5 linked regions of the Ovis aries genome follow. The protein of the gene in region 2 interacts with the protein of the main gene of each other region in a pairwise test. Links are inferred from orthologs where the notes say so. Each region holds a gene or a part of one and is shown on either strand. Other genes may lie near its edges. The genes, in order: SNRNP70, CEP63, SMC3, CCDC14 and SPTAN1.

What was found.
Region 1: the proteins of CEP63 (region 2) and SNRNP70 interact in binary tests that used the Homo sapiens proteins (3 or more experiments, as listed by UniProt). The link is inferred for Ovis aries from reciprocal best matches to the Homo sapiens genes CEP63 and SNRNP70.
Region 3: the proteins of CEP63 (region 2) and SMC3 interact in a two-hybrid assay, tested with the Homo sapiens proteins (2 studies listed by BioGRID and IntAct). The link is inferred for Ovis aries from reciprocal best matches to the Homo sapiens genes CEP63 and SMC3.
Region 4: the proteins of CEP63 (region 2) and CCDC14 interact in binary tests that used the Homo sapiens proteins (3 or more experiments, as listed by UniProt). The link is inferred for Ovis aries from reciprocal best matches to the Homo sapiens genes CEP63 and CCDC14.
Region 5: the proteins of CEP63 (region 2) and SPTAN1 interact in a two-hybrid assay, tested with the Homo sapiens proteins (2 studies listed by BioGRID and IntAct). The link is inferred for Ovis aries from reciprocal best matches to the Homo sapiens genes CEP63 and SPTAN1.

Annotation. Positions count from the first base shown.
Region 1 is NC_056067.1:55,353,755-55,358,643, reverse strand, and holds part of SNRNP70 (U1 small nuclear ribonucleoprotein 70 kDa), read right to left. Parts: intron 2,780-4,889; coding exon 2,678-2,779; intron 195-2,677; coding exon 107-194; intron 28-106; coding exon 1-27. UniProt on the Homo sapiens protein: Component of the spliceosomal U1 snRNP, which is essential for recognition of the pre-mRNA 5' splice-site and the subsequent assembly of the spliceosome. SNRNP70 binds to the loop I region of U1-snRNA.
Region 2 is NC_056054.1:255,433,115-255,439,038, reverse strand, and holds part of CEP63 (centrosomal protein of 63 kDa), read left to right. Parts: intron 1-2,095; coding exon 2,096-2,329; intron 2,330-2,585; coding exon 2,586-2,725; intron 2,726-5,924. UniProt on the Homo sapiens protein: Required for normal spindle assembly.
Region 3 is NC_056075.1:30,683,850-30,689,773, reverse strand, and holds the end of SMC3 (structural maintenance of chromosomes protein 3), read right to left. Parts: intron 5,603-5,924; coding exon 5,495-5,602; intron 4,985-5,494; coding exon 4,876-4,984; intron 4,256-4,875; coding exon 4,008-4,255; intron 3,919-4,007; coding exon 3,706-3,918; intron 3,426-3,705; coding exon 3,234-3,425; intron 3,081-3,233; coding exon 2,903-3,080; intron 2,289-2,902; coding exon 2,092-2,288; 3' UTR 1,544-2,091; coding exon of another isoform or gene 1,472-1,543; 3' UTR 1,135-1,471; downstream 1-1,134. UniProt on the Homo sapiens protein: Central component of cohesin, a complex required for chromosome cohesion during the cell cycle. The cohesin complex may form a large proteinaceous ring within which sister chromatids can be trapped.
Region 4 is NC_056054.1:189,147,361-189,153,284, forward strand, and holds the end of CCDC14 (coiled-coil domain-containing protein 14), read right to left. Parts: exon of another isoform or gene 2,262-5,924; coding exon 1,340-2,261; 3' UTR 565-1,339; downstream 1-564. UniProt on the Homo sapiens protein: Negatively regulates centriole duplication. Negatively regulates CEP63 and CDK2 centrosomal localization.
Region 5 is NC_056056.1:7,770,611-7,776,534, forward strand, and holds part of SPTAN1 (spectrin alpha chain, non-erythrocytic 1), read right to left. Parts: intron 5,264-5,924; coding exon 5,171-5,263; intron 4,587-5,170; coding exon 4,452-4,586; intron 3,399-4,451; coding exon 3,250-3,398; intron 2,166-3,249; coding exon 2,106-2,165; intron 1,002-2,105; coding exon 803-1,001; intron 1-802. UniProt on the Homo sapiens protein: Fodrin, which seems to be involved in secretion, interacts with calmodulin in a calcium-dependent manner and is thus candidate for the calcium-dependent movement of the cytoskeleton at the membrane.

The sequences.
Region 1 (4,889 bases), on a different chromosome or scaffold from region 2:
CTGTGGGGCAGCGGGGAGGGGCCGGGCCTGGATGAGGTGGGCAGAGGTTTGCGGCAGGGCTCCCCCACTCACCGCCCCGCTCCCAGGACACCCGGCCCGGCCTCACCTCTCATCGTAGCGGGAGGTGTCGTCCCGGCCTGAGTGCCGGATGTTGACGTCCGCCCCGCCTCTCCGGGTGCCGCCCAGGCCGCCTCCTGGGGAGGGGCAGACACAGGCGGGTCAGAGCGGGTGGGGACCCCGAGACGGCGGGCAGTGCAGAGATCAGAAGGTCACAGCGCCAGCTGGACGCGCCCTCATAGGGCTCCGGGCTCACCTCCCCCACCGGGGAGGCCCCAGCCCCTGACAGACCCTCTCCTCCGGTCATTCCCGCCCGAGACACAGCCCCGATCCTTCTAACTGAAGCCTGACCCGCCTCAAAGCCGGCAGTGGCTGCCCACCGCCCAAGCCAAGGTCAGAGGCCGGCCTCCTCCCTGTCTTTCAGCCCAAGGGCCCCTGGCTCTAAAGGTTCCAGGCATTTTCCAACCTCTTCATGGTCTCCATGTCCTTCCTGCCCAGTGTTGGGGATCATTCACCCGTTCCCCTGGAGTCTCACCTTCCTTTCTACTTAACTCCCACTTACCCTCCGCACCTTAACCCACACCTCACTTCCTCACTCCGCCTGCCCTGACCTACCAGCTGAGGCCCTTCTCCACTCACAGACCACACACTGGCTTCAGAACTTCAGTGGAGTTTCCGATTTCACGTGTGTGTCTCAGGTGGAGTTTCCAATTTCGTCTATGTGTGTGTACACGCACGTTCAAGAGAGAGCTGATTAACAGCTGCCTCCCTCTCTAGCCTGTACTGCGCCTTCCATCAGGACGCTGGACCAGCAGCCACGATAAAAAGCTGGACGAGCAAATGGCGACAAGGACAACTGGAAGCAGCAGCAGTTACCCTCCTCCTTCACGTGGGAAACAAACGCAGGCTGAAAAGCCACCTGCCCAGGGTGACTCGGCAAGAAAGGGCAGAGCAGAGACGTGATTCCCCGCTAACTCCAGAAGCTGCCCTCTCACTCAGTCTTCTGCCCCCACTGCCTGGAAGGGAGTTTCCTGAAGCTATTTAAGGAATAGCTTTCAGCAATGAGGGTCAAAAGCTTGGACATGGACATGAAACATCCGAACAGAGGACAAGCCACCCAGCAAGGATGCGGAGAAACAGACCAGTGCTTTCCATGTTCAGATCACAACCCAGCAGTGGAGTCACATCACTAAATCTGACAGGATGCAACCAACCATTTCTTTAAAAGAAAGAAACAGAACATAAAACACTAGTATATATACTGCCCGTAGAAAAGATAAACTACTGTTTCATCAAACTTTTGTTTGGGTTAAATGTATTTTTTTTGCATGTACACTGGGTCAAAATGCACTGGCTATCACCATCAGAAAGTTGGAATGCCAATCAAACTAGAAGATTCTGAGATTCCAGGATTCTACAATGGGCAAGAGCAGACTCTGAAGGACTCACTCCAACCCAAAGAAACCAGAGAGGGAGAGGAGAACTTATCTATTGAGTTGACACTCGGCAGATACATGTGTGATTTACTCAGTAAAGGCAAGTCAAGCATAAGAACAGCAGGCTGGGGGCAGAAATAAGGTCAGAGGGTACTGGACCTGCCTAGGGTGTCTGCATAGCGAAGACTATTTTCTCTGACAATTGGGTCACTCCCCCTCACTGGAGTTGGTCCTCGACAGCCAAGTCTGGATGGCACAACCTCAGCCCCAGGTCCAGGCCCAACGCTGAGCCACTTAGATCCACCCACCCAGAAGCGCAGACTCATCCAAGACTGCGTTGTGGAATACCACACTGGCTCCGTGGGGAGAGAGCCAGAAGGGACCAACTCACAGACAGCAAGCAAACAAGGCAGAAGGCACAGAGCTGCCAGAGGCAGCTCTGGATGCTGCAGGCTCAGCCGCCAGGGCCTCAAGGCCCACAGACCTCCCCCATCTTTGGGCTCCAAGCCACTGGGGTTTCTACACCAACAAGGCCCCAAGACACCGGGATTCTATACCAACAGACCCCTTTATACTGTTTTCTGGTACTTGCTACCAACCTGACCTTGACTGAGACGGTAACTGACAATAAGAGATGACAGTGAGAGGGACTGAAGCTTTGAGGGCAGCGGCCAACCATGTATGTCTCACCCTTGACTAGAAGCCTGCTACGCAGCTGGTGATCACACCAGTGTTTACTCAGTAATCAATGAACGAACAGGCCGGATGAGCAGGAGCAAAGTCTAAGCGGATGCCAGAACGACTTTTCAAGCCCCACTGTACACCATTTGCCAGGCTGTGTATCTGAGACACTGAACTCAGTGAGCTCTTGAGATTATTCCCACTTTCTAGGATGAGGAAAATGAGTCAGAAAAGGGGAGAAATCCACCTGCCAGGTATGCGCAAGTCAGAATTTGATCCCAGACTGGCTTCTCCAGGTCAGTACTCTTGCTCCTAATTGGTAACCCAGAATAAAAAACAAAAACAGACCAAGAGAATGCTGGAGACCGAGAGGCTGAGCTGGAGAGAGGGAGGAATGTGAGCAGCTGCATGGGGAAGAGAAGACAGAAAGCAGCAGGGGGGGGGAAGAGAAGGGAGAGGGAGCCAGCAGGACCCCGAGCCCAGCCAGAGCAGGGCACGCTCACCTAGCCGCCGGGGCCTCCAGCCCTTCACGGTGCGGCCCCTCTCCACGTCCACGAGCACTCTCCTGCCGTCAATCTTCTTGCCGTCTGCATGCTTGTAAGCGGCTGCAACAGATGTGGGGAAGGGGAGGGGGAGGAGTCCCCAGAGGATCCTCTAGTCAGGTGACGGCCCCACTCTGTGGCATCCCGACCCGCCACACCCGCCATGTCCCCGTCAGCACACTTCGGCGCACACACGCACGCACACACACAGGCCCACCAGACAGCCAGGCAACTGACAGCCAGACAACCTTCTCCCAACCCGGGAGGGGCCTGCTCCATCTCACCACCTGCCTCATCACCCCCAAACACTCTTGGGGGGCCGGCCCACTCCCAACCACTATGCTCACCCTAACCACTGCCCTGGGCTCCCAGGCCAGGCCTACTCCCCTTTGACAGAGCAGCCCCCTCCCACCAAGGCGGCCAAAGTCGCTGCAAAGAAACTGGAGGTTAACTTAAGGCTGGACTCTGCAGTGGGGGAGGGCTCCTCCACAACCCCAGGCATGCACCCTAAAACGTCATGCTGGGAGCAGAGGCCCGGCTGGCCGCTCCGCACCCCAGTTCACACCGGTTTCCTTTTACTGTGGTTTTTGTTGGGGGAGGGTGAGCATGGGGGAAACAGACATCAGAACAGAAAATGAACCAGAAGGGGGCAGGAGAAATCTTTAGGAGATGGCAGGGAGTAGAGGGTGGGTTATGGGGGCCCCCTACAGCAGGTGGGGCAGAGGGAAGTGGAGGGAGGCATGGGAGTCGTGCGGTGCTACTGAAAATCCCTGCCTTACCTGCCGAGACTATACCCACCCAGCCCCCAGCCCAGCTCTCCCTCCACACCCCAGTGCAACACGCGCCGGGAAGGGCCGAGCCCGACCTGAGCCTCAGGAAGGGTGCGGAGTAAGGGGGGAGAGGCGGGGAGGAGCGCGTCCTGCGGGTGGGCAGGACACAGCCAAGGACAGGCCCAAGCCCGGGGCTGCCTCACACGGGGCTCTCGGGAGGCCAAAAACGTCCCTGTTTCCCAACCCCCAGCCCTGGCGGAGGGGGTCATCCTCAACCAGCCACAACACCCGGCCCCGCCCCAGCCCGCTCCCCCCCCAAATAACAACCAGAGGAAGAGAAAAAGGTGCCATTTACCGATGCCAGCCTTGCGGGTGTCCAAACCGAGCGGGATGGGGGGGGCTCGGCAACTCCTGGGGGCCTGGCGAGGAGGCGGGCTTCCCGGGGGGGGACACGGGACCGCTTACCTGGAGCCCCCAAGCTTACCTGAGCACGCGCACAGACCCCACACCCACCACCATGGGGTCAGCTAAAGCTACGGGGGAGGGAGCCAGGGGGTTCTAGGGAGCCCCCGGAGGGGCGAGGAACCACATCTCCTGTACCGCCTGGAGGCAGGCAGAGGAAGTGGTGGACCCCAAAGAAACCTCATGGAGGCCTTGAAGAGGAGGGAGACAGGGTTAACATAGAGCTTGGGAACTTGAAAGGACTATCTTGTTTGAATTCTACAAAGCGGCTAGGGAGGCCTTAGCAAACCTGTCCACCTTCAGCTTTTCCCCATAAAATCCACGCTCAGCTAGGCACAGGCCCCACCCCCTCAGCACATGGAATGACTTTTCCACCTTGAACTTCTCACTCCCTCCCACCATCTGCTTCAGCCCAAAGGCTGGCACACAAGGGGACAGCTTCGGGGGTCCAGGAGATGGGAGTACTGCCCATGATCCACGGGGAAGGGGCCGCTGGGCCCCTGAACCCAGAGGAGCGTAGTGGGGGCGGGATTTCAGGACTGGGGACACAGTCAAGCAAAGGACCCCTGCTCTGGTCATGTCCCAAACCCCAGAAGAGGCCCAACCCGGGAAGAACAGCAGAGAAAAATGTGACGTGTGTATCTCTAGGCTTCGCTCGCTCTCCCTCTCTTAGGTCTCCAGCCAGTGGAAGGGTTTTCAGTAAAAGCTCCAGCACCTTCAGCTGTTCACAGCCTGTCGCTCGACCCCTCCCACAGCAATCCCCAAGTCCATGCACTCTGGAGAGCAGCTGGGCTCCACAGCCTCTCGGGAGGCTCCACTGTGACAAGGCAGACAAGACATGAGCAGAGCACCCCGAGTCTAGCAACCAAAAAGACTCTCCAGGGCCACCACAGTGAGGGCCCGCAGAAGGGGCAGGGGCAGGGGCCAGGAGAGGAGGAAGG
Region 2 (5,924 bases):
CATAGATGATCATATCATCTGTGGATAAAGGTAGTTTTATGACTTCTTTCCTGATCTGTATACCTTTTTTTTCCTTTTCTTACTGCATTAACTAGGACATCCACTGTGATGGTTGAAAAGGAGTGATGTGAGGATAGATTGTTGCCTTATATCTGATCTTTGTGGAAAAGTGTCAAGTTTCCCAATATTAAGTGTAATGTTAGCTGTATGGTTTCTGTAGAAAGTCTTTGTCGAGTTGAGAATGTTCCTCTCTATTCCTAGTTTTTATCATGGAGTTTTTTTTTTCTATCATGAATATATTATATATACACATATATATGTATGTATATATATGTATTTTAAATTGGAGAACAGTTGCTTTACAATGTGGTGGTGGTCTCTGTAGTACATCAGTGTGAATCAGTCATAATTATATATATATCGCCTCTCTCTTGAGCCTCCCTACCTGCCGCATTCCACTCCTCTAAGTTGTCATAGAATGCCAGACTGGGCTCCCTGTGTTATGCAGCAGCTTCCACTAGGAAGGTTACCTGTTTTACACATGATAGTGTATATATGTCAGTGCTACTTTCTCAGTTTGTGCTACCCTCTCGTTCCCACGCCATGGCTACCAGTTTGTTCTTTACATCTGCATTTCCATTTCTCTGTAAATAGGTTCATGAGTACTATTTTTCTAGATTCCATATATATGCATTAATATATGATATTTGTTTTTCTCTTTCTGGCTTACTTCACTCAGTATAATAGGCTCTAGGTTCATCCTCACTAAAACTACTCAAATTCATTCCTTTTTATGGCTGAGTAATATTCCATTGTATATATGTACCACAACTACTTTATTTTTATTTCTAGCTTTATACAATTTTTTTTTAATTGGTGAAAATTGCTTTATAATGTTGCATCAGTTTCTGCCATGCAACAATGTGAATCAGTCATAATTTTATATATACCCCCTCCGTGTTGAGCCTTCCTCCCCTCCCCACATCCCACCCCTCTAGGTCATCACAGAGCAGCAGACTGGGCTCCCTGTGTTATACAGCAGCTTTCCACTGACTGTCTGTTTTACACAGGATAGTGTATGTATGTCAGTGGTACTTGCTCAATTCATCTCACTCTCAGCTTCCCCCACTGTGTCAAGTCTGTTCTCTACTAGTTTCATCAGTACCATTTTCCTGGATCCCATATATATGTGTTAATATGTAATACTTGTTATTTTCTTTCTGACTTACTTCACTCTATATAAGAGGCTCTAGGTTCATCTACCTCACTACAACTGACTCAAATTTATTCCTTTTTATGACTGAGTATATTCCATTTACTACAACTTCTTTATCCATTCATTTGTTGATGGACATCTAGGTTCCTTCCATGTCCTGGCTATTGTAAATAGTGCTGTGATGAACATTGGGGTACATGTGTCATTTTGAATTGTGGCTTTCTCAGGGTATATGCCCAGTAGTAGGATTGCTGGGTCATATCATAGTTTGGGGGCTTCCCTAGTGGGTAAGTGATAAAGAATCTGCCTGTAATTCAGGAGACCACCTTCTACGCAAGGGATGTGGGTTCGATCCCTGGATTGGGAATATCGCCTGTAGAAGAAAGTGGCAACCCATTCTAATATTGTAGCCCCATGCTATGACTTAGCAACTAAAACACCACCACATGGTGGTTTTATTCCTAGTTTGTTGTGAATCTCCATACTGCAGTGGCAGTACCAGTTCACGTTCCCACCAGCAGTGCAGCAGGGTTCTATTTTCTCTACCTCCTCTCTAGCATTTATTGTTTGTAGTTTTTTTGCTGATGACCATTCTGATTGGTATTAAGTGATACCTCATTGTAGTTTTGATTTTTATTTCTCTAATAATGAGTGATGTGAGCATCTTTTCATGTGTTGATTGGCCATCTGTATGTCTTCTTTGGAGAAATGTCTGCTTAAATATTTGTTCATTTTTTGACTGGACTGGTGAATGAATTATATATTTTTAATGATCTATTGCTGTATGTTTTATGGAGGTAAAATTCAGCTTCATTTTAGTCTTCCTTGTTCATTGATTATTCTTTTACTTTTACCAATTGATAATTTGTGTATTTTTAGGCTCAGCTTGCCAATCGGAAACAAAAATTAGAGTCTGTGGAACTGTCCAGCCAGTCAGAAATTCAGCACCTGAGCAGTAAGCTGGAGCGGGCCAATGATACTATCTGTGCCAATGAGTTGGAAATAGAGCGCCTCACCATGAGAGTCAATGACTTGGTTGGAACCAATATGACTATTATGCAAGAGCAGCGGCAGAAAGAAGAAAAATTGAGGGAATCTGAAAAACTACTAGAGGTATATTTTTAAATTTTTATATACTATAACTGAGGAAATGTGTGTATGTCTGTTTTAAGAGAAACTAATTAACCTACAACTAGGTTCCAAAATCTGCAGTTTCTTACCTACTCTGTAGCCAGTGGATCAGATATTGATATTGGGCCTATTAATACTGTATCTGTTATATAATTTACAGTTTGACTCCTGGCTTCCTTGTGTCGTGAAATAGAAAAAGTGTAATAATATCTGACTTTTTTTCTGAGTATTTTTACAGGTTCTTCAAGAAGAAAAGAGAGGATTGAAGGCAGCTCTTCAAACTCAAGAAAATTTTATCCATGATGCAAGAATACAAAAGGAGAAGCTGCAAGCAAAATTAAAGGCAGCTGATACTCAACACACAGTAGAGACCATAAGGTATAACCTTAAATATTATTAGTCTTAGCCACAGGGTGGTTTGGCGTTAAGCATGTGTACGTCAAGGCTGTATATTGTCACTCTGCTTATGTAACTTATATGTAGAGTACATCATGAGAAATGCTGGACTGGAAGAAACACAAGCTGGAATCAAGATTGCTGGGAGAAATATCAATAACCTCAGATATGCAGATGACACCACCGTTATGGCACAAAGTGAAGAGGAACTGAAAAGCCTCTTGATGAAAGGGAAAGAGGAGAGTGAAAAAGTTGGCTTAAAGCTCAACATTCAGAAAATGAAGATCATGGCATCCGGTCCCATCACTCCATGGGAAATAGATGGGGAAACAGTGTCAGACTTTATTTTTGGGGGCTCCAAAATCACTGCAGATGGTGACGGCAGCCATGAAATTAAAAGATGCTTACTCCTTGGGAGAAAAGTTATGACCAACCTAGATAGTATATTCAAAAGCAGAGACATTACTTTGCCGACTAAGGTCCATCTAGTCAAGGCTATGGTTTTTCCTGTGGTCATGTATGGATGTGAGAGTTGGACTGTGAAGAAGGCTGAGCACCGAAGAGTTGATGCTTTTGAACTGTGGTGTTGGAGAAGACTCTTGAGAGTCCCTCGGACTGCAAGGATATCCAGCCAGTCCATTCTGAAGGAGATCAGCCCTGGGATTGCTTTGGAAGGAATGATGCTAAAGCTGAAGCTCCAGTACTTTGGCCACCTCATGTGAAGAGTTGACTCATTGAAAAGACTCTGATGCTGGGAAGGATTGGGGGCAGGAGGAGAAGGGGACGACAGAAGATAAGATGGCTGGATGGCATCATGGACTCGATGGACGTGAATCTGAGTGAACTCTGGGAGTTGGTAATGGACAGGGAGGCCTGACGTGCTGTGATTCATGGGGTTGCAAAGAGTCAGACACGACTGAGCGACTGAACTGAACTGAACTTAATATTACATATTCATAATTTTGTGCTTGATCATATTATAGGTTTTCTTAGTTTTAATTTCTGAGTTAAATTTTTAGGGTATTAGATAATAATGTATGGCTATTTTTTTCTACCTTCAGTTTGGGTCCCCTAACCAAGAAATTCTGATGTTTGGAAAGTTAGAAACCCTTTTGTCAATCTGTATAGGCTTCCCAGGTGGTGCAGTGGTAAAGAATCCACCTACCAATGCAAGAGACGTGGGTTCAATCCCCTGGGTTGGGAAGATCCTCAGAAGGAGGAAATGACAACCCACGCCATTATTCTTGCCAGGATGATCCAATGGACAGAGGAGCCTGGCAGGCTACAGTCCATGGGGTTGCAAAGAGTCAGACATGACTTAGCGACTCTTCTCTCTCTGTCTCCTGTTAATTTGTACCCTTGTTGAAACTCCAAACGTGAAAGGAATTATAGTCTTATGTCTCCTGGGAGGCCTACCTTCTTTGGTAAGATAAATCATGATTAGTAGCTGGTAAGGACATGTGCTTATCTTCTATGAGAACTCCAAAATTACAACTTGCTGCTGAATAACCATCAACAGAAGAATGTTGGCTCCCACCAAAAAGGTACCCCACTTCCAAGGGCAAAGAAGAAGCCCTAGCAAGATAGTAGGAGGGGCATAATCACCTTTAGAATCAAACCCCATACCAGCCAGAGACGCTCGGAGGGCTCAAACAAACCTTGTGCCACTGGGACCCAGAGACCCCACAGAGACTGAGCCAGAACTGTGTTTGAGTGTCTCCTGCAGAGGTATGGGTCAGCAGTGGCCTGCCGCAGAGGCAGGGGCTCTGGGTGCAGTAGACCTGGGTATGGCATAAGCCCTCTTGAGGAGGTCACCATTAACCCCAGCATAGAGCAGCCAGAACTTAAGCAGGACTGGGAAATGGACTCTTGGAGGGCCCAAACAGAACCTTGTGTGTAGCAGGATCCAGGAGAAAGGAGCAGTGACCCCACAAGAGACTGACCTAGACTTGCCTGTGAGTGTCCAGGAGTCTCTGGCAGAGGCATGGGTCAGCGGTGGCCTGCTACAGGGTCAGAGGCACTGACTGCAGCAGTGTGTGCATGGAACCTTTTGAAGGAGGTCATCATTATCTTCATTACCTCCGCCATAGTTTGCCCTCAGGTCAAACAACAGGGAGGAAACATAGCCCCCCCTCCCCATCAACAGAAAATTGGATTAAAGATTTATTGAACATGGCCTCGCCCATCAGACCAAGACCCAGTTTCCCCCTCAGTCAGTCTCTCCCATCAGGAAGCTTCCATAAGCCTCTTATACATCAGAGGGCAGACAGATTGAAAAACACAATCACAGAAAACTAACCAAACTGATCACATGGACCACAGCCTCATCTAACTCGATGAAACTATGAGCCATGCCGTGTAGGGCCACCCAAGATGGATGGGTCATGATGGAGAGTTCTAACGAAACGTGTTCCACTGGAGAAGGGAATGGCAAACCACTTCAGTATTCTCACCCTGAGAACCCCATGAACAGTACTAAAAGGCAATCCCCAGGTTGGTAGGTGTCCAGTATGCTACTGGAGATCAGTGGAGAGATAACTCCAGAAAGAACGAAGAGACGGAACCAAAGCAAAAACAGCACCCAGTTGTGGATGTGGCTGGTGATGGAAGTAAAGTCCGATGCTGTAAAGAGCAATATTGCATAGCAACCTGGAATGTTAAGTCCATGAATCAAGGCAAGTTTGAAGCTATCAAACAGGAGATGGGAAGAGTGAACATCAACATTTTAGGAATCAATGAACTAAAATAGACTGGAATGGGCGAATTTAACTCAGATGACCATTATATCTACTACTGTGGGCAGGAATCCCTTAGAAGAAATGGAGTAGCCATCATAGTCAACAAAAGAGTCTGAAATGCAGTACTTGGATGTAATCTCAAAGACAATAGAATGATCTCTGTTCGTTTCCAAGGCAAGCCAAGTCTATGCCCCGACCAGTAATGCTGAAGAAGCTGAACGGTTCTGTGAAGACCTACAAGACCTTCTAGAAGTAACACTCAAAGAAGATGTCCTTTTCATTATAGGGGATTGGAATGCAAAAGTAGGAAGTTAAGAAGCACCTGGGGTAACAGACACATTTGTCCTTGGAGTACAAACAGCAGGTCAAAGACTAACAGTTTTGTCAAGAGAATGCACTGGTCATAGCAAACACCCTCTTCCAACAACACAAGAGAAGACTCT
Region 3 (5,924 bases), on a different chromosome or scaffold from region 2:
ATGAATGATTAAACAACACAGTATACAGTTGACCTTTGAACAACAGAAAGGTTAGGGGTGCTGACTTCCCCTTAGAGCTGGAAATTCAAGTAATGCTATTTCTGCCTCAAAAACAAAGGAAATGATCCATAAAATGAAAATACAGGTAACTATATTGAAAAAAATATCCAAGTATAAACGGACCTGACCAGTTCAAACAAATGTTCTTTATGAGTCAAACTGTATGATCATACAATGGGATATTATTCAGCAATAAAATGGAATCAAATACTGGTATGTGCTACACTATAAATGAACCTTGAAAATGTGCTAAATAAAGGAAGCTAGTCACAAAAGGTCCTATATTGTATAATTCTGTTTACATGAAATGTCCAGAATAGGCAAATCCATATAAATTTGTGGTTGCCAGGGAACTAGTAAGAGGAAAGGGAGATGGAGAGTGGCTGCTGACTGGTACAGTGTTGCTTTTGGGGTGACTGAAATGCTCTAAAATTTGATTGTACAGATGGGTGCACAGCTCTGTGAATAAACTAAAAAGCACTGAATTGTGCTATACTGTTTTGAAGGGTGAATGTTACGGTGTATGAATTACCTCAATAAGCAATTTAAAACCACAATAAACTACAAAGCTCTTTTCCTTTGGGAAAAGACCAATGTTCCAATAACAAGGTTTTCCAAACTATTTACTTATCTGGAGGAACAACTTTTACAGTTCAATTTCTTGGATACTCTTCCTAACTTCTATTAAACACACTGCCATTTTAAATTAAAAATACTTTCTAAAGGACAGTTACAATGAGTTATAGCAGGGTTTCTAATCCTCACTGAGGGTCAGGATCACCTTACGGAACTTTAGAATTAACATTGACCAAGACTCTATTCCTTAGAGATTTGGATTCAAATTGTCTAGGGAAAGACTCAAGCGGTGTTACATTTTTAAAAGCTCCCTCCCATGGATTTAAACAAGCAGCCAGGATTGGGAATCATATTGCAATTCAACAGAATATTAAACCATATTTTAAAAATCTTTTTTTAGGTGAAGGCAGACCTTTTCTTAAGCAAAACAAAAAGCAGATATTTAAGAAAAATTTGTTTCCAATCATACAACTATAAATAAAAAGCCACATAAAACAGTTAGTCATAAAACCAATTATTTAATTGAAGCTATAAAAGAGGCAATACACTTGATAAAATAATTAGGAAACAATATTTAGCACATTTTAAAAGATTTAAAACAGGAGAACACTTTACAAAAAGTTGTGTGGGAAATAAAATCCTTAAACTATGAATAGAAACGTAACATTACAGAGTATGTTATAAAATACAACGACAGAAATATAAAAGGACTATGTATACTCTAAGCTGAAAACTATTAATAATGACCAGATATTGAGGTTTAAATTTACAGTTCCTGGGTAAAAGGATCACATTACTTTACACATCTTCCAGACCAACGGGCAGTGTTTCCCAACTAACCGTGAGTGGTATCGTCTTCTACGAAGTCTTTGGCCATCTCTGCTGTGATCACATCAATGTGACTAACCTGAAGGATAAGCATTAAAAACAGCATCTGTTAGATGGTAAAGAAACTTATCAGTGTTCCCACTGGATATGGTAATATTTTAAAAATATAGCCAATTACCTATATAAATTGCATATTTCAAGTCAACTGACTCTAAAACATTGACTGATAAAACCCTTATTTTAATGCTGTTTGTTCAACACAGGAGTTTAAAAAATATTCTGCATTTTAATGCTCTGAAGATACAGATAAGTACTCATGTCTAAATATCTGAACTACATTTTTGTTCAGTTTTTATTACTTTGCTATTTCAAAGAATTTTAAGGCTGAAAACACCTGGAAGAGCCATGTGGTCTAACCAAATATAAATCAACGTATGTAAATGTTAAAGACTGTGCATTAAATAAGCACTAAATAGGCTAGAGAGGAGGATAATGTCTCTTAATGCCAATGAAAATAAAACTATGCAATGAATGCCAAAAAAACCCCTGATAAGCTTCATAAACATTTTTAAGTTTTTTTCACAAAGATATCATCATCCAATAAGCAACAAGTTTCTGAATTTTTTCTCATGACTTAAGTAACAACAAAAAAAGAATTGAACAGATACAATGGATTAAATACCATATGAACTTAAACTTCATGTAAAAAAATTTTACCTTATTTCTGAACTTCACACCATAGAATTTGTCAGCTGACTCAAGCAGTTCAGGCCTAAAAGTAGTTGTAATGAACTGAGCATGTACAGCAAGCTCCATAATCATATCTGTAAAAAGAAAGAGTAATTTAATAAAACCATTTTCTCAGTAGAACTAAAAATTTAAAAAGCAATGATCTTTAATCCTACCTAAAATTTAAAACTGCCTGATTGCATACATCTACAGAAAGCATCAATTTGTTTCTTAAGCTAGGCATAAACCTTTAACACCGATATCTTAGTTACAGAATATAAAAGCAGCATTTCTAACATAGGATTAGAAACAGTATCAGAGCAATGTAAATCTTTCTCATCCAGAGCAACCTTTTCCTGCTACCCACTCCCCCAAAATCTTTTGAACTTACTAAAGATCAGGTATAGATTATTTAAAAACAGAATCAAATCTGTAAATCTGTAAATCAAATCTGAAAAGTTTTAAAAGGAGAGACGTTTGTATAAAAGCTTAACTGGGGTTGGATTTTCAATTGTTTCATGTTTCTGATAGAACTATACTTTGTAGTCTAATATTAAATTTTAAAAACTTTGTTAAAAGAGAAATTATTTTATTGAATAATACCCTGTCTAGTCTCCCCAGATACCTCAGGCAGCAAGAAATATATGATAAAAGAGGCAAGCTATCATTTCTAGTAAGTTACTATGAAGCTATGAAACCAAAACTGTACCTGACACAGCCTTTCTGTGCTGAGCATCCAGAGCCTGGTCAATCTCATCAAACAAGTAAAAAGGAGCAGGGTCACATTTCTGAATGGCAAAAATCAAAGCAAGAGCTACCAAGGATTTCTGTCCACCCGAGAGTTGCTGCATTTCTCTCATTTCACCTTGTTTTCCTGTAAATGACACCTAAGAATATATTTAATTAGAGTTAATATTTCAAAGGGGTAAAATCTCCATCATCTCTTAACATTAAGTTGCATACAGTGTACCAATTTAAGATTTGCAAAATGTTCCACTATGATAATGCTCTCAGGATAATTGAATGTAAAGTTATTTTACCCTAATTCCAACTCCAGTGAACTGGTCAACTGATGGAACACTGCTTTGTGATCCAGAGCCCCTCTCACTTTCACCACTCCCTTCTCCTTCATCCTGAGACTGACTGCCTTCCACATCTCCTTTCTTCATCACCAAAGTAGCTTTGCCACCAGGGACCAACTTCTGGAATACTTCACTAAAGTTTTTGGATACCTTAAAATGAATAATATATAAACAGGTGTCAGATGGAATATGTACTTTTTAAAACAAAGACAAAAATTATTTAAAAGCAATAAAAAAAAATTTTTATTTTTTAATCTTAAGAACAAGAATAACAGATTGAATCCTTGTAAGAGTTGTATATATACTGGATGTCTTTAAGTATCAGAACAATTATCAGTGGAAAAAAAAGCTTTAAAATCTTTACAAATTGAATGATAAACTAAGTATCTGAAGATTTTAGCTTGTGTATTAACTATAAACAGAAACATACCTGTTTGAAAGTTAACTGAATAGCTTCGTATTTTCGAAGTTCAAGTACATTCATCAGTTCCATGATTGATTTGTACCCCCTGTCTAACTCTTCTTGTCGCTTTATTAACTTTTCTTTCTGCTCCGAGAAATTTACAAACTGATCTAAAGCTTTTTTGTTAACATGGCTGTACTTCTTCAATTCTGTGTTGCACTGTTCAAGTTTTCGAAACAACTATAAAGAGGAAAAAAAAAAACATATAAATAAACTCACATGTAGAAAATTTGTAATGAGATTTCATATTTAAAACAAACTAGATTTACCTGTTTGAGGCTCAGTGTCTGGTATTTTTCAAATGCTTCCTGAGGAAGTGACCCAAGTTCTCGGATTTTCTTCATACATTCCTCTTTCTTCTTCAGCAGCATGCCTTGTCGATTTGTCATCTTTTCTAGTTCTTTAGTATCATGGTTTATAGCATCCATGTGTTCTTTTTCCATATTTTTCCAGCGTTCCATACTCTTCTGCAGCTCCTTAATTCCAGCTTCTGTTTTATCGATGGAATTGTCCAAATCTAAAATGGGGGGAAAACCAAGTTAGGCCATAACACTTACTGTATTTTGGCTGAGCCATGCGGCTTGCAGGGTCCTAGTTCCTCGACCAGAGACTGAACCTAGATCCTTGGCATGAAAGCAGGGAGTCCTAACCACTGGATCGCCAGGGAATTCCCCATAACACCTATTTTAAGGTGTTATCTGACCAAAGATTTTAATGGTCAAATCTATCAAAACAAATAGGTTTAAATTTTCCTGTGAAAATTTATGAAAGAATTCAGAATAAAATTGGGAGTGTACACAAGCCATTCATATATAAAGTTTTTATTATTCAATGTTTATAAAAACCTAAAATAATTTTCTTCTCAGCAATTGTCAACAAACTTGATTCAGCTATTCCATGCTTTTGTCAAGAAACTAATAATGTATAGTCTCTTAAAAACTGCCACAAACATTTCAATAAAATGAAGGTGACAATAATCAACACCCTAAACTGTTCACTAGAAACTATTAACGACAAAAACTTCTGGTACATGCTTTTGCCTATTTGGGTATGTCATTTTGTAATACACGGTCTTATAAAACAAATAAGCTAAATTTAACTAGATATCAAAAACACTTTTACAAAATAAAAATTCACCTTCTGATCTTGCCATGGTATCTTTCACCCTTTTATTGATGGCTTCAAGTTCTGAGGTTGTAGCAGTGAGAACAGTACCCCCTTCTGTCTCTCTCAGTTCATTGAGTTCCTATAACACAAAAGGAACACAGGAGCATTAAGCCATAAAAATATAAACTTTGTTAGTTTCAAAATGTTATGACTGCCAATGTTTATATAGCTGTTGATATGTTTGAATAAACACTTAAGGAAACCAAAAAACATACTTCAAATAGTTGTAAATACTTAAGGTATCCATTAAGCAGGAAAAAAATGATTAATGACTAAAATATTTCTTAGCATCTGACCACTACTGAGAAAATATTTGTAACTAATATTTACTGAGTACCTAGAATGTGCCAGATCATCACACAAAACATACTGCTATGCTTCTTTTACACAAGAGGAAACTGGAGCTTAGAAATATCAAATGACTTGACCAACACAGCACACTAGGTGGCAGTGTGAGAGCTCCAAGCCAGGGCAGGTAGTCAGACTGCTAGTCTTTCTGTCCCCAGAGTCCATACTCTAAATCAGAGCCTCTCACGTAAGCATATTCAAAAGGTTATGCTCATCAAGAAACCATCCAAAGAGAACGTACCTGTTCTACTTGGTCCAAGCGTTTTCTCAAATTCTCATTGAGGTAAGTCTCTACTCGAGTAATAATACCTTCTAATTTAATTCTTTCATTCAGTAGTTGTCTGTTTTCCTAGAAGAAAAAAGAAAAACAAATTGTCTGTCTACATAGGGATGCTCATTTCACATACAGGAATGCTGTTAATCTGTTGTTGTCGACATTACTTGTGTTCAAATGAGCTGAAACAAGAGTTTTATACCTTTCCAAAAAGACCTTTATTTTCTTCTCTACTCTTTTATCTATCCAGAAGGCTATTTTTTGTGCCTGGTTCTTTTTATAAGGCATACTACCAAAAATATTTTTCTTTTCCTGCTTTTCACTTTCTGAATTTAGTGTTAATTATTTACATCTATATTTAAGAATCAAATGTTAATCAAAACTTTTTAAATATGTA
Region 4 (5,924 bases), about 66 Mb from region 2:
GGCATAGACATATGACAAACTTCCTTCCTTGCTTTACTATTTTGCATTTCTGAACTGTACTTCTCAACTTGTGTGTTCAAGGCTTGTGAACTACTACCTCCACATAAACTAAGGAATTAATTTATGAATACTAAATTATAAACAATAGACAATTCTGTGTAAACAGCTTAAAATTCATTTAATACTTAGGCCTAAGAAATCTCTTTCTATAAAATCTGAACATGTTAAAGAGATTCTATCTGGGTCTCTAGAAGTTGCAGCCCCAACACTTAAAAACAGCAGGAGGTGGTTCTGGGACTGGCAGAACACTCTAATGCTAAAGCCTGCCCAAGCAGCAAATAAAATGACACCAGGCAGGTGACTTGTATGAAGTATCAGTCATAGCACACTATGCAGCTTTCTAAGAGTTAAAATGTGCCATTTACATGGAAGGAGATAACACCAAATAGTTAGGAAGTGCTAGTTTAGAGAAGCAGAGACCAACCTAACCCATATTATTTACAGAACAGAAAATGCTCTCAGCTGAAGTGCTGGGGGAAAAAAAATTGGCCCAGAAAAGCAGAATTACAATCAGTTCAAGATTTATAAAATCCATCATGTTCAAATATAATGACAAAAAACAAATAAACACTTATTTATTTAAAAAAACAAATTTACAAAACCAAAACCTATCTTAGCATTTTTTAAAATTAGTCTGACTTTACTTTTTAATGATCTCCAGTGTATCTGTGACAAAAATAAGTAAAAGTGCTAAAGTGTTAAGAGACCATATGCTAACTTAGGATGTTATCTATATTTTTTAAGACCAATCAACATTTGTTTTTTTTTTAAATGGAGATACTGGCACTTTTTCTGTTAAAATAAATGTTTATATGTCTCACCAACAACACCAGCCTGTAGCACAGAACATCACACATTAAAACACAATGCCATTAAAAAACAAACAGGAATCCTGAAAGAGAAAAAAAAACCCTCTAGTTTTAATATAGTAAATTGTACCCAGAGACTCCCTTCCTATTATCCTTTAGAACAACCAGAAATTCCTTCCAACCTGCATTCTTAGCCCAGCAGAGTAAGAATAAACTCTAATAAATAAATACTAAATTTTATTTATAATACAGTATTTTTCTAGTAACACACAACTTTCTTCTCTTAACAAATGTCAGTTTCTTAAGATGACTTTTTATAAGCTCTAGTGTCAATATATTCCAATGATAAATGTATTATTCATACAATTTATTTCACACATAATATAAAACTTTTCTCTAAAGAAATTTAAAATATACATTCAATGTAGCCAAGTTCTATTCTTAAAAACAACTTTTCCTTCCTTCTGAGCTTACTTCTGCAAAAGACCAGTCCTTAAGGACTTCTGGAGTCTGGCAATGTTGGCGTCCAGTGCTGCAAGGCCATTTCGGAAGTCTTGCTCATCACGAGACGTGAACGTGGAAAAAGAAGAGATGCTCCAGTCAGAAGGTAAGTCAGAATTTAAAAAGCTACCATCAGAGACTGCACTGCTTTTCACCTGAACATTGCTGTTCTGACAAGCAGAGGGGCTGTGACAGGCTGCCAACTCCTCCTCAGTGGCAGGAGGGATCTTGCAAATGGCTTCCTTTATTTTCTTGAGAAGCTGCTTGTCCTCCCTATCAGCTGTTCTGGAAAGTTTCTCAGGTGCTTCTTCCTTTTTGCAAGAGGAACAAACTCCAGGTGCACACAGTGTATTTTCTTTTTCAGCAACAAGTCCACTGACCGGTTGCGGTGGAGCTACACTGATCTGGGCCTGGGGGGATAATCTCTTAGACAGTGGCGATTTCTTTTTAGGAGTGCTTCTAGCAAATGGAATGTAAATTGTTTTATCCAAATTATGCTCATCTTCTACTAAGGTCGTAATTTCACTTGCCTCATCAGAATCCTGTTTTGAAAGGGCAGGAACAATTCCAGGGGCTGATACCTCCTCCATATTCCTAGTATTACTGTGCTGAGGGCCTTTGGAGGGCAGGACATTTTCATAAGGTCTATCTGGCACCATGTTTTCCTCATTGGCAACTGTAGAAAGAGGCTCTGGATGTGTAATAAGAGTGTGATCTGGCTCTAACTTACTTAGGTAGCTCATTATGGAAGTGTGAGCAGGGATCGGGTCATGTTGATGTTGCTTTTCATAAATGTTCAGAAGTGATTTGGTAAGATTATTCCCAGGCTTGCAGCGAGCAGTGTCCATACTAAGATCTGAGAGAAGCTTTGCCATACTGCTCTGTAAAGTTCTGTTAAGAAGAATTTAGTACACTAATTATTTCTTTTTACCCATTTGTTTCATTTACTTACATATTCCTCTCATCTTTAAAAGAAAGTATCTGAGGCAAGCACCTGGTTCTTAATATGGGAAAAAGCAACTAAAAGCACAAAATCACATAATATGTTCTGGAAAGAGTAAATTAAAGTAACAATTGATATAAGATCTTAGTCTGCATCAAATCTAATACTATTATATCTAAAAGTGGAGGCTCAGAAAAAATTTTCTCTTAAGGTAGAGATGCTTTATTCTTGAGCAACACTGCAAAATGGTAAATATACTACCCATTTGTTAGTGGATTGTGTTAGTAACTATTACTCTACATTCAAAACATATATGGAAAGGATATTGGAACAATACTGGCGAAAAAAAGGATAGTTAGACATAATTTAATTATCTCATATAATTAGGTATAACTGACAGCTAGATTCCAGGGAAAGTGTGATATAAGGAAAATCACACAGGGTTTGAAGTCAGACAGAAATTGGTTCATATCCTAGCACTATTGCTAGCTGTGATCTTGAGCAAGCTGTTTAACCTTTCTGAATCTCAAGTTCCTCAACTGCAAAAATGAAGATAACTACTTCACATTTAGAATGAACATTAAATAAGATAAAATAATAAAACATAAGGGTAAAGTGCTTAGCACTGTTTCCATCTGGTGACAGCTTTTATTAGTAGTCCTGTTAAAACCATTTTATACCAAGACTTTAGTCTATTTGAATGGAATCATATATATTCTTATATATAGATAAGAAAAAGAAACATAACGAATTTAAAGATACAAAGAACATTAATAGGTAATTTTTAAAAAAAGATTATAATGTGTCAATAAGTATGTTTTAAAGTTTGACTTTTATCAGATAAATTAAAATTTTTAAAATAGGATTTTTTTGGGCCTATCAAGCTAACATAGGAAAATAAGAATATCCATTGTTAAAAAGGCTTGGAGAGGCAAAGTGGGAGTGTACACTCTCCTAGCAAAATAGCATTATATCAGAAATCTTAAAAGACTTTTATATTCCACACCTTTAGACCCACCAAGTTGCACTTCTAGGAATTTAACCTACTGATATTCACCAATAGGCTGCACCCAAAGATATATTTACAAAGATATAATTTATAACAGAAAATTGATGAACTTAATATCTTTATCTTCAAATACTGTGGACTGGTTCAGGTATATTACATTCTTACTACATCATAGCCATTTTTTATAGTCATTTGTAAAGAATATTTATTGATAGGAAAATGTTCATTATACAAGGTTAAATTTAAAAGAGTAGCCATAAGCAACACAGTAACAATACTATTTTTGTAAAAACAGTTATACACGTCCAAATAAAATACTAAAAGGAAATCTCTGTATGAAACAGTTAGCAGTGATTATATTAATATCTTTGGATATAGAATAAGTGATCCTTTTCCTACAAAAGGAAAAAAAGTTCTTTCCCAACCTGGCATACACTGTCATCTTAAATATGCTATGTCTTGAGTTCTGATTGCCCTTCAAATGGCAATGGCTCCAGCCACTTTTTTTCATTCCTCTTTCAAGAAGCTAACGAGCTACTATTAAAAGATAAAAAGTATGCCATAGAAACCATCTTTAAAGAAGTCCTGTAATGAGCAATGACCACTAGTTAATTCAACCAGACAGCATACTGACACTTTTATTTTCATTTATTTTTGGAAAAGAAATCCTTATGTTGAAGTTCCTTTTCAGACTTAAATAAAAATATTATCTTTGCTCTGTACAAAATTCACAATACAAAAAGGGACATGTAATAAAGAGTTTAATCTCTGGAAATTAAATGCAATCATTAAGTTTCTCATGTGTAAACAAATGTGACTTACAACTGTCTTTGAAATTAAAAGAAAAATCTCTGTAAATAAAGAGATAAAACTATGCCAAAATTTTAAAGGAAGCAATACAAGCACCTAAATAGCTACAAAGTAGATATATCTGTGTTTCTATTACATGAGACTCAGCTAAACACAACGGTTTTTAATGCTTGGAAAACTGGTGCGTTTTCATAATAAAAATGTAAAGTCCTTTCTTGGCTATTTATAAAACTATACTAATTTAAATAAATATCAGCACTTGTATGAGTGCTCTTAGAAACTATCAGAAGAATATTTACTACTTTTTTACTGAAAAATATATTAATTTTCCTCACATTTTAATGGTACTATAACCTGCATTCTAGTAAAATCTAAAAAACGTAATAAAGATGTATTTCAAAACTATTGAAAGTTGGAGAAGAAATGGTTTAGGAAATTTGTTTAGCACTTGTATGTGAAATCACTCCCCAGTAGTATGAGAAAGGCATTTTTTTGTCAAATCTCTGAGACTATTTAACACATGCAAAAAAAAAAATGCACACACACACACACACACACACACACACACAGAGACACATACATATCTGACTGAGGTTACATGGCTATAGGAAAAAAAGATGGGGTAGGCGAACATGAAGATTTATCTGTATTGTCAAGTGTTGTTGACTTATGCTCTAATGTCAGAAGTAAAATGTAAATTGTCACAGTAGCCCAGCTATAGTACTGGGAATATTCCTAATTAACTGAATTGCCCAAGTCACCAATGTGGGTGAATTTTGACAACCAAGCTCAAAGAGTATTTTTTGTCTGGTTTGCTCTTAAATTTAAAGGGCAACTTGATCTGAGTAAATCCTAGCATTTTTCTGGACATTTCTTAGAAATAAAATCATAAAATATGTGGGTTTTTGTGATTAACTTCTTTTACCATAAATACTTAAAGATAACAAAGTTTTTACCCTAAATTACTCCTCAGAAAAGAGAAGATGCTTTTCTTTAGAGACCTTATAAAGACTTTCATAAGAAGGGGCATCCTCATAATTAACTTGGAAAAAGAGTGGTATAACCCAATATTCCAGAAACTGTGACCAGAGCCTAATTAATACTACACGGATACAAGAAGTACATTTTGTTTTTCTCACTGTTCAATAAAAGTTTGAGTGAAATTATTCTGTAAAAGATGAATGTGGGGAGAAGCAATATTTCTATATTAACATAGCTTATATAAAGTCATTTCAAATATGCTTACAAAACTAATAAATATTCTTTATATATATATGTATACGTATAGGCTTCCCCGGTAGCTCAGCAGTAAAAGAATCCATCTGTAATGCAGGAGACGTAGGTTTGATCTCTGGGTCAGATAGATCCCCTGGAAAAGGAAATAGCTACCCATTCCAGTATTCTTGCCTGGGAAAATAGAGGAGCCTGGCAGGCTACAGTCCTGCCAAGACTGCAAGAGTCAGATACAGCTTAGTGACTAAACCACCACCATGTATCTATGTATCATTTATTCTCCAGAAGTTTATAACTCAAAGTGGGGAAAAAAGTGTATAATGCAAAATGGATCTTTTCATTTGAAATACAAAGAAGATTGTTTTATATTCAGGATTGCTTTATATTTAGAACTATGACTTTCCAGGATCAGTCAAAAGCATGGTCAGATCTGATGATATATAATTTAGGCCTAAAATAACTGACTTCTCTAGGATTTAAAAAATCAGTTGAAAATCCAATTTTTGTCAACCACCTCAAGAGAAAACTGAACTTTATAAAAGAATATCATATAAAAGTT
Region 5 (5,924 bases), on a different chromosome or scaffold from region 2:
CGCTAGAAGATCACTGATCCATCGATAATGACTAGACTTTCAAAACCCTCTGTGGAGCCCTCAGTCACAAAGTAACATAACATGTGCTTCCATTGATATGAAATGTCCAGGACACATACATGCAGAGACAAAAAGCAGCCTGGTGTTCGCCAGGTGTTGGTGTGGAGGCGGGCAGCGGGTAAGGAGAGGCTGCTTCATGGGTCTGTGCTCTCCTTGCGAAGTGATCATGTTTTGGAAATAGAAGTGATGGTAACAGAACACTGGGAACAAACCAAATGCTGCTGAACTACATCCTTTATCACAGTTAACTGTCTGTTACGTGGAAGTCGCTCAGTCACCTCTGCCTCTCTGCGACTCCACGGACTGTAGCCCACCAGGCTCCGCTACCCATGGATTCTCCAAGAAAGAATACTGGAGTGGGTGGTCATTCCCTTCTCCAGAGGATCTTCCCAACACAGGGACTGAACCTGGGTCTCCTGTGTTGCAGGCACACTCTTTACCAACTGAGCCACTAGAGAAGCCCAATGTTATGTGAACTTAACCCTAATTAGGAAAACTACTTTTACACATTTTTGTATGATAGATTAGGAAAGTTCTTAAAACAACATGCAGAGAAAACTGCACGTATTGATGTCTTCTCAGAACTAAATGGTGCAAGAAAAGTTATGATTAAACTCGTTTAAAAATGGCTACAGAGACAGAGGAATATAATCTCTAATTTTCATTCCAGAAATCCACAGTCAAATGTCAAGAGATCCAAACCTTTGAACGATTTTCCACTCAACTGCAAGACCTCCCGTACCTTCTGGAAGTCGTCAAACTTCTTCTGCAGCACTTCGACCTGCTCCAAGTCCGCGCCGACCTCCTCGCTTGTCAGGGCCGCTTCCTTCTCGTTGATCCACTGCTGCAGCTCGTTCGCTTCACGGAACAGCATGAACTTCTTACAGCTCTTCTCCAACATGCCTTTACGCTTCTCTCCCAGTTCCAGCAGAGAATGGTACCTGAAGTAATTCAAGAGGGTGACAAAAGGGAGGGAGGGGAGGCGGGTTAACTTCCTATGGAGGCAGACCACCCGTGTCTTCGAGAGGTGGTCCAAGGCTGTGTTGATAAGGACGATGCCGTGGTGGCAGAGTATCAGACACCAGGTGGAGACACAGGCCCCGAGGACCCACGGACAGCCTCCGGGACAAGCCCACACTACACTGTTCACAATGGGGTGGCGGGGACGGCCCGGCACACTCACCCCGGGGCCGCGTGTGCACTGACACCAGCACAACCACAAATGACCAAAACCAAGCGTTTAGCACAACACAGGCTCCATGCGACTACAGCTGCCAGATGAGAGATGGATTTGCTGGGCGTGGTGTATACAGAGGGCCTGTTCTCCTGTCGTATGATTCTGCCAGCAGCGCCCAGGTGGTGGGGGAAGCTACACTGAGCTTTACAACAGCCTCATTCAGAATGTTAGTATCTCTGAACAGTAGGGAATTCCTACTGTTTCTCATGTTAACATACTTATTTCTCAGGAAGTTTTGGCCACTTTGGAAGGAGAAGTCACGTAAAGCACATTTCGTTAGCTGAGGATTTCTTATGAAGAATCCAATAACACTCGAACTCTTGGGAACCAAAATACAAAAGGCTGAACTCCTGGCATCCTTGCAGATGTGAAAATAGCAAACTTAATACAACTGAGTTGAAAGTTAAAAAGACCTAGAATAGAACCTAAGTCTCCAAAAGGGAAATAAAACAGGAGCGCATTACCGAGAGTCAGACTTCAAGAGGCAGCCGGCTTGCTGCCAACAGAGGAGCATTAGGGCGCCGGCCGCCGCCTGGCCCGCTGACAGCGGCCAGTCCAGGAAGAAACCGACAGCAGGCACACCAAGCAGGCTCTGAACGCACAGCTGCACAGAAGCACCGACGAGAGAAGCGGCCACAGCTGACACGGCTTCACCCAAACCCCTTCCCTCGCGAGCCAAAGCTGCTGCCAGAGACGGGCCCTCCTGCCACCTCGCCTTCCTCGACCAGCGAGCGCCTTCAAGAGAAGCAGGGAAGGGAGGATGGACGGGGCGGCGGGTGGTGCTCGGCAGGGCTTCCGGCCTACTCACAGTTCTTCCACCTGTTTCATACGCAGAGACACGCTGCCGGCCTCCTTAGTTACGCGCGTCCTGCACGGGGGGGCACAGCAAAAGCACGCACGGATTAGTGGGTTAATCCACGGGGTGGGAGGCAGCGGCTCCGATGGGGGCCAGGACAGTGGACGCTTCAAGGGGAAATGACGGAGTCATTTGAGAGCTCTTGGAAGCAGGCTAGGCCGGGAATGAAGTCACAGTAAGGAAAGAGCAGGAAAATCAAATCCAATGACACGAGAGTTAGTTCACCTTTGTTTTCCTGTCTGCCATGCTTAAGGCAGTAAACATTCCTCAGCTAGACACACTGGTCGCTTCACAAAGCCAGGCCAGAGGTACAGTGACCGCCCTGAGGAAGAGGTTTTCCTGAGGGCTGACACGCAACTGGAGTCAGGTATCTGGTCCACCTTTTTGCTCTCATATTTACGATCTAGGCCAAAACCTCTCATTCTTAGCAATAACAGAAAGCATCGGTAAGTGTATAAAAACTGACCTCTGCAGGGATCAACAGGGTCAAAAAAGTTCTACTGTTCCAGCCTCTCATCAGAGTGTACTTCCTGGCTGTCTGCCAGGTGTCCAGAGCTTTAGATCTCATTAGTAGTGCAAGATGTGCCCTAAAAAGAGGGACACGGGTCCTTAAGGGAGCTTAGCCATAAGAAAGGGTGCAGAGCTGTTTCCTAAAAAATACACTCCACTCTCAGAGCATAAAACCATGGTAGAGAAACACACTCTATGCAGCCTTTTGCAGAGGACAGAACTCAAGAGGTGTGGAACAGCTAAAAACCCCATTTCAGAGAGCACCTCCTGAACTGGAGAACAAAGATCCAGATGGTGACAATTAGCAAACGTTGTTTAGGAAAAGCAACTGGCAAATGCAGGGAAAAGAACAAATGAAAGGAAAAAAAAGGGACAGGTCAGGGATCATAGGTTCCTGGGGTTGGAGCTGTGTGGGTAAGCTATGCCGTGGGGACGGTGGGGGAGAGTACACCTTAGAGCGCAGATGGGCATCGGGAGAGCACTCGCCCTGGAGCCTCAGCTCAGGGCGGCCTCCGCCTCAGCCCCTCAGGACGACGCACGGCGCAGACCTCCGCTGGCCCTCTGCCGCCACCCGCGAGGCCCTTACTGGTTGTCAATCTGCTCCTGCCGCAGCGCGATGCTGCCCTGCTCTTCCAGGAGGTTCTCCCGGGAGGCCGACTGCGCTGGGTCCAGCTTCTTCACGTAGGCGGCCGGCACGAAGCCCTGCCGGTCGTTCACTTCCACTTTCCACCAGTCCTACAGGGAAAAGAGACTATCTCCATGGCAAATTCCTCCCCTGACGGAGGGAGAACCCAAGGAGGCCCGTGTACACACGCATGCACACATGAAGAAGAGCTCTAGTCACGGCATGAGGATCCCGTGACGGTGCCAAAGTCACCTGGTGTGAAGATGGGAATTTTGATCCCCTCGTGACCTGCCGCGTATAGGGAGGGTCATGAGTGAGGCAGCCATGACTTTACTGGAGCAGGAAGGCCACCTTCTCTTCGCACAGATGCTCCAGGACTGTGCTAACACGGCAGCCTCGAGCCATACTTCAGGAAATTAAATAAAACCTCAGATGCTCTGGGACCTCTGAAGCCCCTCATGGTCACCTGTGACTAGTGGCTTCTGTGGGGCCAACACAGACACATAGTCTGCCATCACCGTGGCTTCTACTGGCGAGGCTGCTCTGGAGTGAACCAGAGTCAGACCAGGCAGTTAGCTTAGGTTTAGAGTCAGCAGACCGACACTGGCCAGTGTTTCCTCAAAGTCCCACGACCAGGTGAGCTGAGTGGCTGGGAAGAGGAGGTGCCTAACACTTCTCCAGCCTACACTAAGACAGGGGGCAGGATCCTGGGGGGGCTCGTCAGATGATGGCCTCATTCCAAGGCCATAGCCAATCAGAATGCGTTAAGAAAGACTGATGAACCAGGCAGCACTGAACTTGGAGAAGATGAGGAGGCGGAGCCTACAGGGTGACGCTGAAGCCTGTTTTCAACCCTCTGCTGCGGCCCTACAGTCTAGAACCAACAGGTGCCAGTGACAGAGAAGCAGACTTCAGCTCAAAAGAGAAAAAAATTCCACTTGGAAGTGGTCCTTGAGAGTAAGGGTCACTACCCTAGCTCTCAGGTATTTACGGAGACAGGCTGGTCATCTCAATCACAGGCAAAACAGTAAACCCACGTGACATGGGAGACTGACCTGGAAACTCTAGTAACTTTAAGTTTTAAACCAGCCACATCCTGGAAAGACAAGCTCCCAAGACACCTAATATGTGGAAACCAACCCCCTGTCATCCTCTGTGCTTGCCTTGTTGGTGCTGTTGAGTAAGGTGAGAATGTCTCCTTTCTTCATGGTGACCTCTCGGGGACTCTTCTCCTGATAGTCATAGAGCGCCAAGACCAGCTCCTTCCCAGTCTCGTCATCCATGGGGGCCACTTGTTGCTAAAAATTCAAAGGAAGGGCAAACACAGTTATGGGATGTCTCCAGAGTGCCGTCTCAGCCACTGCAGATCCCAGCCTCAGCAGGAGACCCACATCCATCAAACATACACTGGTGACAGTTCTCCTCTGAAGCCACCAACAAGATCTGACTCAGGAAGCTCAGCTGTCTGGGACCTTTAAGGCCACAGGAAAGTCACCTACGGGGGCTTTCCTGGTGGGCCAGTGGTTAAGAATCTGCCTGCCAATGTAGGAGACACAGGTTTGATCTCTGGTCCAGGAAGATCCCACATGCCTTGGAAAACCTAAGCCTGTGCACTCAACTGTTGAGCCTGGGCACCCCAACTACTGAGCCCACACGCCCTAGAGCCTGTGCACCACAACGAAAAGTAGCCCCCGCTTTCTGCAACTAGAGAAAGCCCATGAAGCAATGAAGAACCAACACAGCTAAAAATACATAAATAAAAGAACGTCACCCAAGATCATGCCACCTGCTGTCAGCATCTGGGTCTTTTGGCCTCCCTGCTCCCTGGCCCCGACCCAACCCCTGGGATCTTGCAACTGCTGACATGAAAAGCCTCACTTACCCGGCACGACTGGGCCTGCTCTCGCAGGGCCTGGATGCTGCTGCCATAGGCGCTGAGATCCGACATCAATGCCTCGTGCTTCTTTAGCAGAGCCTGAAATCCAAGTCACACACAAAGCGACCCTGAGCAAGGAGCCAGAGCAGCCCCTCTGCCTCCCCAGCATGCCGTCTGCCTCTTAAATCTGTTTAGCTACCTGGTGACTTGATGACTCTCTCTCCCTTTATTTGATAAACACTTAGCGTGGAGAAAATATCATGTTTTCTATTATCTTTTCATCCATAATTATGCAACCCTTGAAACAGACGAGGAGTCATAAAGAACACTGTCACATGTACAGTGATCCACCACCCATCCTGAGAATTCAACACTCCTGCTAAGTGGCAGCTGGGCACATGCCGCCCTCCTCCAAGAACCCCCTTCCCACCACCCTCCGTGCTTCCTACTTCTCCAAATCCTATCAGGTCGGGTCAATACTCAGCTCAGGACGGTTTACGTGAAGACAGGCAAGAAAAGGCAGGCACGTGGCTACACCTAGATCTTTATGAATAGAATTTAAGAATTCCATTCAAAAAAGATGACTAAGAAAAAATTGTGCTTATGTACACATAGGTATACAGAAAAAATGAAGTAAGATCGGAGACATGGGCATGGCTAACAGTGAAAGGCCAAGGCTGCCTTCTCTCTTTTGTGAACATAAGAGAACTACCAGAGAAAAGTGGAAAGAGATGCTGAAACACCTTAAAAGCCATGAGAC